Linked DNA regions of Oryctolagus cuniculus. The protein of the gene in region 2 binds, or shares a complex with, the protein of the main gene of each other region. Links are inferred from orthologs where the notes say so. Each region holds a gene or a part of one and is shown on either strand. Other genes may lie near its edges.

Region 1 (6,601 bases), on a different chromosome or scaffold from region 2:
TCAGCTGCAGGTACAAGGCTCAAAAACAAGAATTTGGGGTGGGAGTGCCCCACCTCTGAGTACTGGCTCTGGTTCCTGGCTCTAGCTGGCTGCTACTTCAGACCCTGGGATGCCACAGTGATAGGTCAGGTATCTGGGTTCTTGCTACCCAACTCAAAGACCTGGACTGAGTTTCTGGATCCCAGTGCAGCCGCTGTAGGTGCCAGGGGAGTGAACCAGCAAATGGGTGCCTCTCCACCTTTCAAAAAGTTTAAAAAAAAAGAAACACAAAACAACACATGTATCTAACTGCAAACCACCCCATTCTCCATCAAAATCAGCAGTTCAATTAAATCCTCTGATAATGGGAGACATGTTATGAAGCAAACAGACCAAAATGCAGATCACAGAACCGTGGAGGTGGGTATATGGGTGCTGACCGTACGATTCTCACCAATACTGAAACTGAATGTCTCATATTAAGAGATACTGGGGGCCGGCACCGCGGCTCACTAGGCTAATCCTCCGCCTTGTGGAGCCGGCACACCGGGTTCTAGTCCCGGTCGAGGCGCCAGATTCTGTCCTGGTTGCCCCTGTGGCCAGCGAGTGCAGTGGAGGATGGCCCAAGTGCTTGGGCCCTGCACCCCGTGGGAGACCAGGAGAAGCACCTGGCTCCTGCCATCGGATCAGCGCGGTGCGCCAGCCGCAGCACGGCGGCCATTGGAGGATGAACCAACGGCAAAGGAAGACCTTTCTGTCTGTCTCTCTCACTGTCCACTCTGCCTGTCAAAAAAAAAAAAAAAAAAAAAAAAAAAGAGAGAGAGAGAGATGCTGGAAGAAAAATACTCCTTCTGACAAGATGGAACCGCCTTGGTAGGGTGCTTCCTGATAAAACATCTCCTTCCCAGGAAGCCTACAATTATAATCTAGAAGTGAAAAAGCAGAAAGCACAAAGCCATCAGATGACTAGTGCCAACAAAAAACAAAACCACAATCTTCATAAAGATGGATTTAAGGCTTCTACAAACGGTTTCCTGCTCCACTTAACTCAAATCCAAGCTTCTGAACCCCTATCATTTGGCCGGGGGGAGGTATATGTATACTTTTAGCAACCAAGATCAGAGTCATGAGCCCAACCTAAACTTGGAAGCCGGGGCAGAATGCAAATACCTTTATCACAAGCCAAAACTACAATCTGAAGCCCCATGCCTCAAGAGGAACACAAAGAATTCACGATGAGCTTATGCAAACTCATGGACCACGTCACCACCGTTCAATGGAGGTAAATACTGTAGCTTCCTGTGAGAGTGGCATCAAGGAAGGCACTCACCACACACAACTAAAAATAACTCAAGGGCAGCAACGTCTGAGTGGACCTGGGACCGAGAGGGCCACAGGCCAATCTGAACACCCCTGGGATAAGCAAAATGAGGGCCTTCAAGGCTTTCACTCCCAGCCTTCAAGTCAACCTAAGCCAGACGCTACTCAAAGTCATTACTGATACTCATTTTATACCCATTGCCAATTATACTGCTATATCGGGAGTAGTCCACTAGAACACAGGTGGGCCCGGCGCTGTGGCACAGTGGGTTACAGCCCCGGCCTGCACACTGGAGTCCCATATTGGGATGCTGACTGTTTGACTGAGTCCCAGCTGCTCCACTTCTGATCCAGCTCCCTGCTGATGCACCTGGGAGAGCAGCAGCAGATGGCCCAAGTGCTTGGGCCCCTGCATCCACGTGGGAGTCCTGGAAGAAACTCCTGGCTCCAGCTGTTGTGGCCATTTGGGAAGTGAACCAGAGGATGGAAGACCTCTCTCTCTCTGTCTACCTCTTTCTGGAACTCTTTCAAATAAATAAAATTAAATTAAAAAAAAATAGCCAGCTGATCCCAGTTATAAAATGGTTAAAACTCAGCTTGCTTCCAATTTGTGGTATCTCCACCTTTTGCCTTCACTGTTTAAACACCTTTAACTGAAACTCGGGGCCATATTTACAGCTTTAACAATCTGATAAAACAACATTCCAGCAGTATCATCAGGAATATAGCTTACCAGTCGAAAGCAGAAATATATTCTTGGTACGGAAAATTTGGGATTTGGATTTTTACTGAAGAAATGTTTGCTACGTATGACCCCTGAGAGTAACAGTGTAACTTTTTTTTTTTGGCAAAAGTTCACTTTACTCCAATACTACTTAAGACAGTCAAGAGTCAACATAAATGTCAAACCCTCATTAAAATACCGTGGGGACAAGCCTTTGCGACACTGGCACCCCACAGCGCGGTGCCGGGCTTCGATTCCTTGCTGCAGGCCCCAATTCCAGCTTCCTGCTAGTGTGAACCCCGGGAGTGGTGGTGACGGCTCATGTAGTTGGGTCCCTCCTGTCCATGAGCAAGACCTAGAATGGGTTCTCAGATGCTGGTTACAGGTATGTTGGGGGTGAGCTGGTGGGTAGGAGCTTCTTCTCTCTCAAGTAAATTTTAAAAATTAAATTAGAAAGCAGACGGGAAATTCCAGGGCGGGAACAGTGTTTTGAATACTCATACTCCCTCACAGAGCCTCACACAGTGCTGGTCCTGGTCACTTCCAGGCAATCAGTAGAGGCCTGGCCCCTGGGAGGGGCTTGCCAGCCAGCCCCCTGCATGATTTCACTGAACTTCCCAAGGAGGAACCTCTCTGGGGGAGGGGAGGAGTGATGTGCTCTCAGACACCTCCCAACTAAGTGGTGAGATGTGGGCAGGACAGACACACACAGCAGGCATTCAACAAGTATTCACTGGAAGGAACAGCAGTACCAGCAGGAGAGGGCTGGGAGCTCTTCGTGTCAAACACCCTGGGTCCCTGCTTTAGAAACCTTCAAGTCAGAATACTACATTCCATCCCTCGGTTCTGAATTACCACAACTTCACTTAGAAAGAGAGCTAAGCATATCCTAAGCATAATCGATGGAGCATTTATAACTTTTAAGGGAAATCCAGGTCATTTTAAACGTTCCTAAGAAAAAGTGACGTTTTGCTGATGCCTGACACAAAAGCATGGAAGAATTCACTTAAAATAATCCGCTGACTTCATTTTCAATCCCACTTCACGAACGCTTTTCCCCAAGTGCCAAAGTAAGGTTTTCTTTTAAAAAGGTAACATAGCATACACATTCCTAAATAAATGAAATTTAACAATTTTTATTTGAATACGTAGAACTATACAGGGTTCACCTTTCCCACGTGTGACACGAATCCAACAGACATGCATCTCCCCAGAAAAACCAGTGTCCTAACTGTCCTCCTTGCATCCGAAATGCACAAACAATCTCAAACGTCTCCCATCAGTTCTCTAAGCTAAGAGATCACACATTCACTAAGAGGCATAAAAAAAAAAAAAAAAAAAAAGATAAAAGTCGGAAGGCCACTTTTGGGATATGAACCAGAGGTGTCCAGCGCACTCTTCCTCCGACTCTGGACTTGGACCAGTTGCATTCAGAGCTGGGTGAAACTGGTAGTAATTCTTCGAGAGTCCCTGTCCCACACTAAGCTACACAAGCAATGCTGAGACGCGCGATTTTGCTCGGATCACACTGGGATTCTTGTTTATAAGGGAGGGAAAAACACACACACACACACACACACACACAACTGCATAAGACCGGTCTTGTCCTCCTCTGGGGCCTGTAACCCCCACGGGCGGTCCTGGAAAGAACTCCATCCATCCCTGCCGCGCTCAGCCAAGGCCTCGGTTTTTTAATTTTTATTTTTATTTATTTTTTTAAATAACGACCACATTGCAGGAGGTCAGCTTCCGTCACACCTGGCCCCTGACAGCATCTTCCAAACTTTGTCCACGCCAAGGGCGCCACCGACCATGTCGAAGAACCCCACAAGTGGCCAAGTTACAAGTGGCAGCGACGCGGCCGCACGCTGGGCTTCCGGTCACTCAGACCACTGGACCTCCGCCGCCCGCCCCGGCTCCCCGGGCTGGAGGGGTGGGGGTGGGGGGCGACCAGGAGGTTTAGGGTAAATGCCAGGGAACGGCCCCTTCTCGCCAAAATAAAATAAAATAAAATAAAATGATTTGCACAGGCGCCCGAGAGCCGTGCCAAGCCGGGCAGGGTGGCGGGCGGCGTCCGGCCGCCCCGCGGGCCCGGGAAGGCGGCGAGAGGGCGGAGTCCACTCTTGCCCGCGGCCGGCCAGCGGCAGGGCCCTCCCCCCACCAGGACGCCGCAACCCGGCCCGGGACGACGGCGGGTGAGGGGCGCCCGCCCGAGCCCCGCGCAGAGGCCGCGCGGCGCCCACGCGACCCTCGGCGAGCCCCCGCCGGCCCCCCAGAGCCCCCGGCCGCGCACTCACCCGTCTCCCACCACCACACACTTGATGGCCTGCATCTGGGCCGCTCGCTGGGCCGCGGCGGCGGCGGCGGCCGGGCGCTGAGGCGGGAAGCGGCGGGCGGACGGGCGCGCGGCGACGGGCGGGCGAGCGCGCGGCGACGGGCGGCGGGGCGCGGGATGCCGGAGCCACTGTCCACGCCGCCTCGCCCTCCGCGGACTGGAGGCACAAGCCCGGCAGCAGCCACCACCCAAAACGGAGGAAAACTGCAGAGAAACAGGAAATGGCCGCTCCACTCACATCCGGCCGCCCCTCCCCCGCGCCGGCGCCGCCGCTCCCAGGCTCCGGGAGGGGCCGCTCCCGCCCGAGCGGCTCCCGGGGTTCCTCGGGGCTTCGGGAGCGCTCGGGAACGCTCGGGAGCGCTCGGGAGCGCTCGGCTCCGGCCGCGGGGGCGGGGCGGCCGCCATCTTTCCCGCGGGCTGGGCGCGGCCGGGTTTGGACTGGGAGGGGAGGCGGGGGTTCCAGGAACCGCGCTGACGTCACCGACTCCCGGCCCGGCCGTCCGAAGGGCGTGGGTTGTTCCCCCACCTCTTTATTGTCCTGTGTGTATGGTCACTGTCACTTAGGCGATGACATAAGGGCCTTCTAGAAATTTCCGAAGCTGAAGCTATATAAAGAAGGAAAAAAAAAGAAACCATACCATTATTGGGCCATAATCAGTATTCATTCCATCATATTTCTTTTTTTTTTTTTTTTAAGATTTATTTATTTGAAAGAGTTACAGAGAGAAGATGGAGAGAGAGAGAGAGGTTTTCCACCCGATGGTTCTCTCCCAATTGGCCGCAATGGCCAGAGCTGGGCTGATCCAAAGCCAGGAGCTTCTTCCAGGTCCCCATGCAGGTGCAGGGGCCCAAGGACTTGGACCACCTTCCACTGCTTTCCCGGGCCACAGCAGAGAGCCACATCGGAAGTGGAGCAGCCGGGTCTCGAACCGGCGCCCATATGGCGCTTCAGACCTGGGCTTTAACCCACTGCACCACAGTGCCAGCCCCTCTCCATATTTCTTTTTTATTTTATTTATTTATTTATTTATTTATTTATTTATTTTTGACAGGCAGAGTGGACAGTGAGAGAGAGAGAGACAGAGAGAAAGGTCTTCCTTTGCCGTTGGTTCACCCTCCAATGGCCGCCGCGGCCGGCGCTCTGTGGCAGGCGCATCGCGCTGATCCGAATGCAGGAGCCAGGTGCTTCTCCTGGTCTCCCATGGGGTGCAGGGCCCAAGCACTTGGGCCATCCTCCACTGCACTCCCGGGCCACAGCAGACAGCTGGCCTGGAAGAGGGGCAACCGGGACAGAATCCGGCGCCCTGACCGGGACTAGACCCCGGTGTGCCGGTGCCGCAAGGCGGAGGATTAGCCTAGTGAGCCGCGGCGCTGGCCTCCATATTTCTTAATACACACAGTGAACATGTTTCAGGCAAGATTGAAAAATCATACTGAATCTCTAATATTTTTAATTGCGGCTTACTAGTCCATTGTACACATGTACCTTTTTAAAATTTTACTTTGTTCATTTATTTTGATTTTACTTGAAAGGCAGAGAGAGATCCTCCACCTGCTGATTCTTCCCTAAATACCTGCAACAGCCAGGGCTAAGTCAGGCCAGTCGGGAGTCGGAGCCCAATCTGAGCCTCCTGGGGTGCACATTAGCAGAAAGCTGCATCGGAAGCAGAGTTGGGACTGAAGCTCAGGCTGTATGATACGGCATTCAGCGTCCCAAGGGGCATCTTAATAGCTGTGCCATGCGCCTACCGTTTATTTAAATAATTCCCCTTTTATTAGGCAATTGAGTTGTTTTAATCTTTCTGTGGAACACCTTTGTATCAGAATCTTCATTCCTGTGGCCCAAGCTGTGGCATAGCAGGTAAAGCCACCATGAACAGTGCCAACATCCAATATGGGTGCTGGTTTGTGTCCCGGCTGCTCCACTTCCAATCCGGCTCTCTGCTGTGGCCTCAGAAAGCAGTGGAAGATGGCCCAAGTCCCTCCAGCCCTGTGAGAGAGCTGGAAGAAGCTCCTGGCTCCTGGTTCCTGGCTTCGGATCAGCCCAGCTCTGGCCATTGTGGCCATCTGGGAAGTGAACCAGCGGATGGAAGACTCTCTCTCTCTTTCTTTGCCTCTGCCTCTCTGTAACTCTGCCTTTCAAATAAATAAACCTTTTAAAAAATCTTCATTCTTAGTTTTATTTCTTTTGAATACATTCCCCAAAATGGAGTTATTGGACCCACAGTAGGGGAAATGTTCTT
Region 2 (5,906 bases):
CTTGGGGGGGGCAGAGCAGGGGGCCAGGCCCTCCCCACTGCAGGCGCTGGCCGCTGCCGGCTTGGGGGGCGGGGCGGAGCAGGGGGCCAGGCCCTCCCCGCCGCAGGCGCTGGCTGCTGACGGCTTAGGGGGGACGGGGCGGAGCAGGGGGCCAGGCCCTCCCCGCCGCAGGCGCTGGCCGCTGCCGGCTTGGGGGACGGGGCGGAGCAGGGGCCCGAGCACTGACGGCCCGGCTGTCTGCAGTCCATCTGGTCCAGCTCCATGACGCGCCCTGGACCGTCCGCGCTGGAGCAGCTCTTGATGCAGCAGCAGCAGCAGCAGCGGGGCCGAGGCGCCCTGAACCCTCCACACTGAGGCCCGAGCGCAGCCTGCGCATGGAGGCTCCGCGAAGCCGGCCTGCCGGGCTCGCAGGCCTGGCGCTCAGCCCGGCGGTGGCAGCCCTCTGCCGTTCCTTGCTGTCGAGGGTGTAAGTGTCCCACCAGCCCGCTGAGTGTGCACGGAATGTCCGCAGTGCAACGGAAAGAAAACCCACCGGGAACTCTCCGTCCCCGGGGCCCCGTTGGTCCCGCTCGGTCTCGGATGGCACCGCCGCTCACCTCCGTCACGCACGTCCCCAGCCACGTGGGAAGTGGAAGCTGAGAAGCAAGGGCAGATGGGAGAAGCCGCGGGAACTTCTCAGTGCTTTCTCCTCTTGGGGAATAAAGCGGGAGTCCACTCACGGTTGCTTTGCTGACAGAGTAGTGGACATCGCTCCCAGCCATCCTGGCTGCTGTCGCTGCTCTCGGCAGTGACGCCACACTGACGTGCTGCGGGTCAGCGGGTGACAAGGAGCCCCGTCCCTCACTGCCCTGTGGGAGGCGGGTGGCGACAGGGTGAGCCCGGCCTCTTCAGCCAGTGGCAGTGTCCGCAAGGGACAGCGCGAGGCCTCGGGTGGCCCGGCCGGCCCTGCACTGGCCCGGGGCCCCAGCAGAACGTGGGGGCGTGACCCCGGCGAGGACGCGCAGGGGCGGTGGTGCTGGGCCGGACTGGCAGCCGACGTCTTCCCGGCTGCACCCACGGCGGGCAGCATACGGGCCCACGGGAGGCCGCCAGTCCGCTCCGGGCGGGGAGAGGCGTTCAGCATGGCTGTCGTTTGGTTGGATGATTTCTGTGCCCCGACTGCCCGGTTGCCCCTCCCTGCCCTGTGCTGTGTGCTACTAACTGTCTCTGTTCCCAACGTGCGCGACGACTGGCCGAGCGACAGCAGCGTGGGCTCCGGCGCGGGGCCCGGAGGCGGCCGAAGACGAGGGCGCCCGCCTGAGCGTGGTCTCGGAGGCGGCACGGACACGCGCCCGGCGGCGCAGAGCAAGCGGAACGGGGACAGCGGGAGATGGACTTTGACTTTGCTATTTATTAGGCGCGAGGACCCAGTGCGCTTGCGCAGGCGGCGCCCGTCCTTCCTGAGGGGTCCGAGGGGAATTAGGGAAACGATGGAAATGTCCACTGCTGTGCTGGTGACGGGGCCCCGTGTGCGAGGGCGCAGCTGGGGGCCCTGGCCGTGCGGGGGGAGGGCACGCTCGTCTCTCAGGGGGTTGGAGTCCCGGACGCTTCTATTACTGCTTCCGTTTGCCGTGGTGTTTGGGGTTTTGTTTTGTTTTTGTTTTTTTGGCAAGGCCTGAAAGGGTGAAGCCCCCACCCAGTGGCACCCTGCGCCCCTTTGTGCTTCTCCCAGCCTCCTGCCCGGCCCTGCCCGGCGTGCACGCGCTGTGTGGCAGGTGGCTGCGGCACGCTGGTGCAGGAGCTGGCACCGAGCTCCCCCCCCCGGCCCCCTGTGCCAACTCGGGGCGCACGGCTTTGCCTTCGCTGTGGAGTGAGGGGGGAGCAGTCGGCCTCGGAAGCCGGCTTGTGTGGGAAACTGGGTGGGGGGGTTGGTTGGTTTGGGGGTTTTTGGGTTTGTTGGTTTTTTTTCTCGTCTGTCTGTGCAAGACCTGCAGCTGCTGGAATCAGCTTTGCCTTTAATTAAACCTGTTCTCTCCAGCCAGCCCTGTGTGACGCCATTTGTTTGCCGGCCCGAGGACGGGGAGCGGGAGCCGCGAGGGTAGGGCCTGAGGGCGCTGCAGGGAGCCCTGGCGCAGACCGGCGGCCGCAGGGGCGCACCGGCGGGCGTCCACGCAGAGTGGCCAGGGCCGGGGCGCTGAGAGTCGCCCGTTGCCGTCACACTGATAGGCGGCTCAGGGGGGCTCTCGCTTAGCCTGTGGGGCCCACTCAGCCCGGCTGTCCCATGTGCTGGGACGGTGTAGGGGAGGCTGGGGAATAGCTCTCCCCTCCCCAAGACGGCGCCCGTCAGCGTGCATCCCACGGGAGCCCGCCCGGCCGGCCTCTGCGAGTGTGGCTGCCGGGCTGCCTGGGGGCGCCTGCAGAGTCACGCAGCAGGAGCGCGCACGCCGAGCCCGTGGGCCTGGGCTCCTGCTGTGTGGTTTGTGGGGCTTTTGTGAGATTAGGACGTGCGGAGAGGAGCGCCGTGTGTGCACCTACAGCTCAGCAGATGCTCACGGGAACCCTGGCGCCCGCCCGTGCCCGCAGGGGCCCCGCCCTCCCCGTGCCCCTGCACGTGCTCACATCAGGGAGGAGGGCGGTGTCTCGGAGGCCGACAGGGCTCCCTGGCCTGCGCCGGCGCTGGGCGTGCCCTGCAGCTGTGCGGGTGCGTGTTCTTCCACGAAGGCTCTGGGGAAGATGCCCGCCTGCCCCCTGCACTCGCCTTCCAGCCATTCTTCGTTCACTGTGAGGGGAGAGCGCGCCGCCGTGACCCGGAGCCTGTGGTCTCGGGAAGCGACAGGGACCCTGCCCGGGAGCGAGTTCCGAGAAGCCAGGGGAGGGATGAGCAGTGACTAGGGTTTCCTGAGACTCTCGGCAGCTTTGCCAGCAGAGCGGGGCGTGGCCGATAGAGCAGGGCCTGGCATGGAGGCCGAGTTGGAGCCACGGGTACTGTTCCTAAAAATGACTGCAGTGCCCTGCAGACCACACTGGAAGACGCGCACACGCTGACTCCGTAACGGGTGCGGGTGGTGTCCCACGCTGCCAGGACACAGCAGCCACTTGGTGGGGCAGCCCCCGAACCCAGCACCACACCATGCGCGCAGGGATGTCGCCTCAGGGCCGCTGCTGGCGGGGTCCCTGGCTGACCAGTCGCCGGCCCCCGTCTGCTGCTCGCTGTGCGGCCAGGGCCTGGAAACCTCTGTCCTGGCACCTGGCGTGTTTCAGGCAGGTTCGAGCCCGAGTCCATTTCAAGACGACGCCTGGCGACTGACGTGCCCTTGACAGTCTGAGAAGCCATCCCCTGGCTGTCCAGCATGGCGGCTGGGCTGAGCCACAGCCCCACCTGCTCCACAGGGGTGCGCCTGCTCGGGGCTCTCGTCCATGCCCTGGGGAGCGTTTCTGTTCCCACTGTCCCTACACGCACACTGCACGGCTCACTGCTCCGTGCAGTTTAGCCCGCGTCTCCCTGTCTCCCTGTCCCTCGTGCGGGAAGACACCACACCGCACCTGCACCGCCTCTGTCAGCGGCTTGTGTTCTGAGCCACACACTTGCATACTCTCCACCCCGTTAAGTTCACAACCTGCTCACTTCTCAATCTGATAATCACAGTGTGTCCCTACTTTGTACTGCCAACACACGGTGCTGCAGCCCCGTGCAAGGCAGAGACCACAGGGCCGGTGTCGTGGCGGAGCAGCTCACGTCCTGGCTGCTTGGCCTCACCAGAAGATGGGACAGGTGGGTGAAGCTCCTGGCTCCTGGTTTCAGCCTGGCCGGGAAGTGAGCCAGGTGGAGGTGGCTAGGACTGACACCGGGAGTTAGAGCAGTCAGCAGCACCGCAGACAGCAGGGTCCCCGGGGGCGGTGCGGGCTGTGCGCTTACGCTCCCAAGGCTGGAGAGGCCCTGGCGTTGGGGCTCCCCCAGGGTTTCTACCGTGCTGGTTCCCGACAGAAAGGGGCGCAGCTGAGCAGAGCGTGCAGTGCGGTGCGAGAACTGGCCGCGGGGGGCCCTGCCTGCTAGGAATGAGAGCCCAGTGCGCTCTGCTGCCCACCCAGGAGCTGGGGAGCGGGCGGAACCGGCGGCCGCGACCCCCTCTGCCCACCCAGGAGCTGGGGAGCGGGCGGAACCGGCGGCCGCGACCCCCTCTGCCCACCCAGGAGCTGGGGAGCGGGCGGAACCGGCAGCCGCGGCCCCGCCGCTTACCCTCTGACAGCACCAGGACGACGTCCCCTTCCCGCAGCTCCAGGTCCTCCGGCTGGCTGGCCTCGTAACGGAAGCGAGCCACCACGTGGCTGCCTTCCCGGATCTTCGGCCCCGTGGTCCGGTCGTCAGCCTTGGAGAGCTCGCTCTCGTCGGGCTCCTCTGGAAAGCCTTGGTCACCCTGAAGTCAGCACAGAACCTGGTCTCCTTGCTGGGCCGTGAACACTGAGCACCGCTGGAGGGCGGGGCCGGGATGTCCCAGCAGCTCCTGGGACGCGAGCTCGCGGAGCCCGGGCGTGGCCAGTGCCTGCCGTGGACCTGCCTGGTCACCTTGAAATCCACGGAAGCCTTGTGGTCCCGAGCAAACAGGCGGAGTCAGCCACAGAGCCCCAAGCTGCTGAGCACTGAACCCGACACCCTCTCCCCAGCACCACGCTAGCGCCCGTTAGAAATGCACACTTGCGGCGCCATGACGGTGGCCCTGTCCGTGGTCGGCCTGGCGCCACACCATCCCCCCAGGGCCGCGAGAAGGCGGGGCTTCTGTTCCTGTACCAACACCTCTGGCACTCGTCGGGTGTTGGGGTGCCAGGCTTCCTGCACAATCGCGGGAGCAGGGACCAGGAAGGAGAGGGCGTCCACCCCGTGGCCTCTGAGGGCGCCCCCTTGTGGCGGTGTCAGCGTGGCGGCGAGTGCTCCCTCTAGGGAGACCTTCCACCCCGCCCGCTCCTCACTCCCGTTCTCTGGGCGGCTGCAGGGCCTGGGGTGGCTGTGGCCGTGGGCGTGGCCGGGCCAGGCTGCTGCCAGCGCTGTGACCTTGGGAGAAGGTCAAGCTGCTTGGCCTCTGCCGTGTGTCTGGGTGGCAGCACCCAGCTACGGCGTCGCCGGGACCCTGAGAGGGCACACGGGCGCACCGAGCACAGCCTCACCCCCGGAGGTCACCCTCACGGGGACGGCCCCTGCAGGCTTCCAGTGAAGGGTGGCTGTGGGGCGCCTGCGGGTGACAGGCGGTGGCCACACGGCACTCACCACTGAGTTCTCACACCACAGGGTCAGGCAGCTGCCGTCCACGTGGCTCCAGGCGTCTGCCATGCTGGCCTCCGACAGGGGCGCCAGCTCGGGGCCGGCCCGAGGCCGGTAGCTGCGGGGACAGAGTGGGCCCCGGGTGAGAGGAGCCTGTGCCCCGTGTCCCCCAGGCCCCCAGCACCCTTGCATCGCCCATGCCGCCCCCACATGTCTGCACGCCGCCTCCGTGTCCCCCCCCCCAGCCGCACCTCAGCTTCGTGTGTTCCGGCGCCAGCTCCAGTTTCCTGGCCACGGCGTCCCGGAGCTGGCTGTAGGGGAGCTGGGGCTGAGTGTCCAGGAGCACCGTGAACTTGTAGTGCACCTTGAGCGTGTAGGGCACGGGGACGCCACGCGTGGCTTCCTGGGGGGAGGGGCGCAGGACGCCTGATCCATTAGAAGGGATGTCCACACTGCAGACCACCACAGCTCCGGGGGGGGGAGGCCTGGGAGGAAGTGGCTTCCCGGCGCAGGGCCGGCCCCTGCCCCTGGCCCCCTGCCCCCGGGCCTCTGACCCTGGGACCCTGGACGCATTACCTGGGGCTCTTCCTTTTGTCTCTGACCTGAATGGGACAGGCGGGAAAACAGAACAAGAGGGGCGCATGAACACCTTGGCCGGCCCCAGCCCACACAG

The links. The genes of interacting proteins can lie anywhere in the genome.
Region 1: NCF2 (region 2) and RAC1 share a complex: the UniProt entries of both Homo sapiens proteins name them as parts of the phagocyte NADPH oxidase complex. The link is inferred for Oryctolagus cuniculus from reciprocal best matches to the Homo sapiens genes NCF2 and RAC1.

The regions. Positions count from the first base shown.
Region 1 is NC_091450.1:40,074,290-40,080,890, forward strand, and holds the start of RAC1 (ras-related C3 botulinum toxin substrate 1), read right to left. Parts: upstream 4,499-6,601; 5' UTR 4,356-4,498; coding exon 4,321-4,355; intron 1-4,320. UniProt on the Homo sapiens protein: Plasma membrane-associated small GTPase which cycles between active GTP-bound and inactive GDP-bound states.
Region 2 is NC_091444.1:1,484,470-1,490,375, forward strand, and holds the end of NCF2 (neutrophil cytosol factor 2), read right to left. Parts: intron 5,836-5,906; coding exon 5,810-5,835; intron 5,637-5,809; coding exon 5,485-5,636; intron 5,352-5,484; coding exon 5,240-5,351; intron 4,395-5,239; coding exon 4,217-4,394; intron 2,759-4,216; coding exon 2,595-2,758; 3' UTR 2,494-2,594; downstream 1-2,493. Other genes in the region: nonsense-mediated mRNA decay factor SMG7, read left to right, coding at 244-354. UniProt on the Homo sapiens protein: Subunit of the phagocyte NADPH oxidase complex that mediates the transfer of electrons from cytosolic NADPH to O2 to produce the superoxide anion (O2(-)).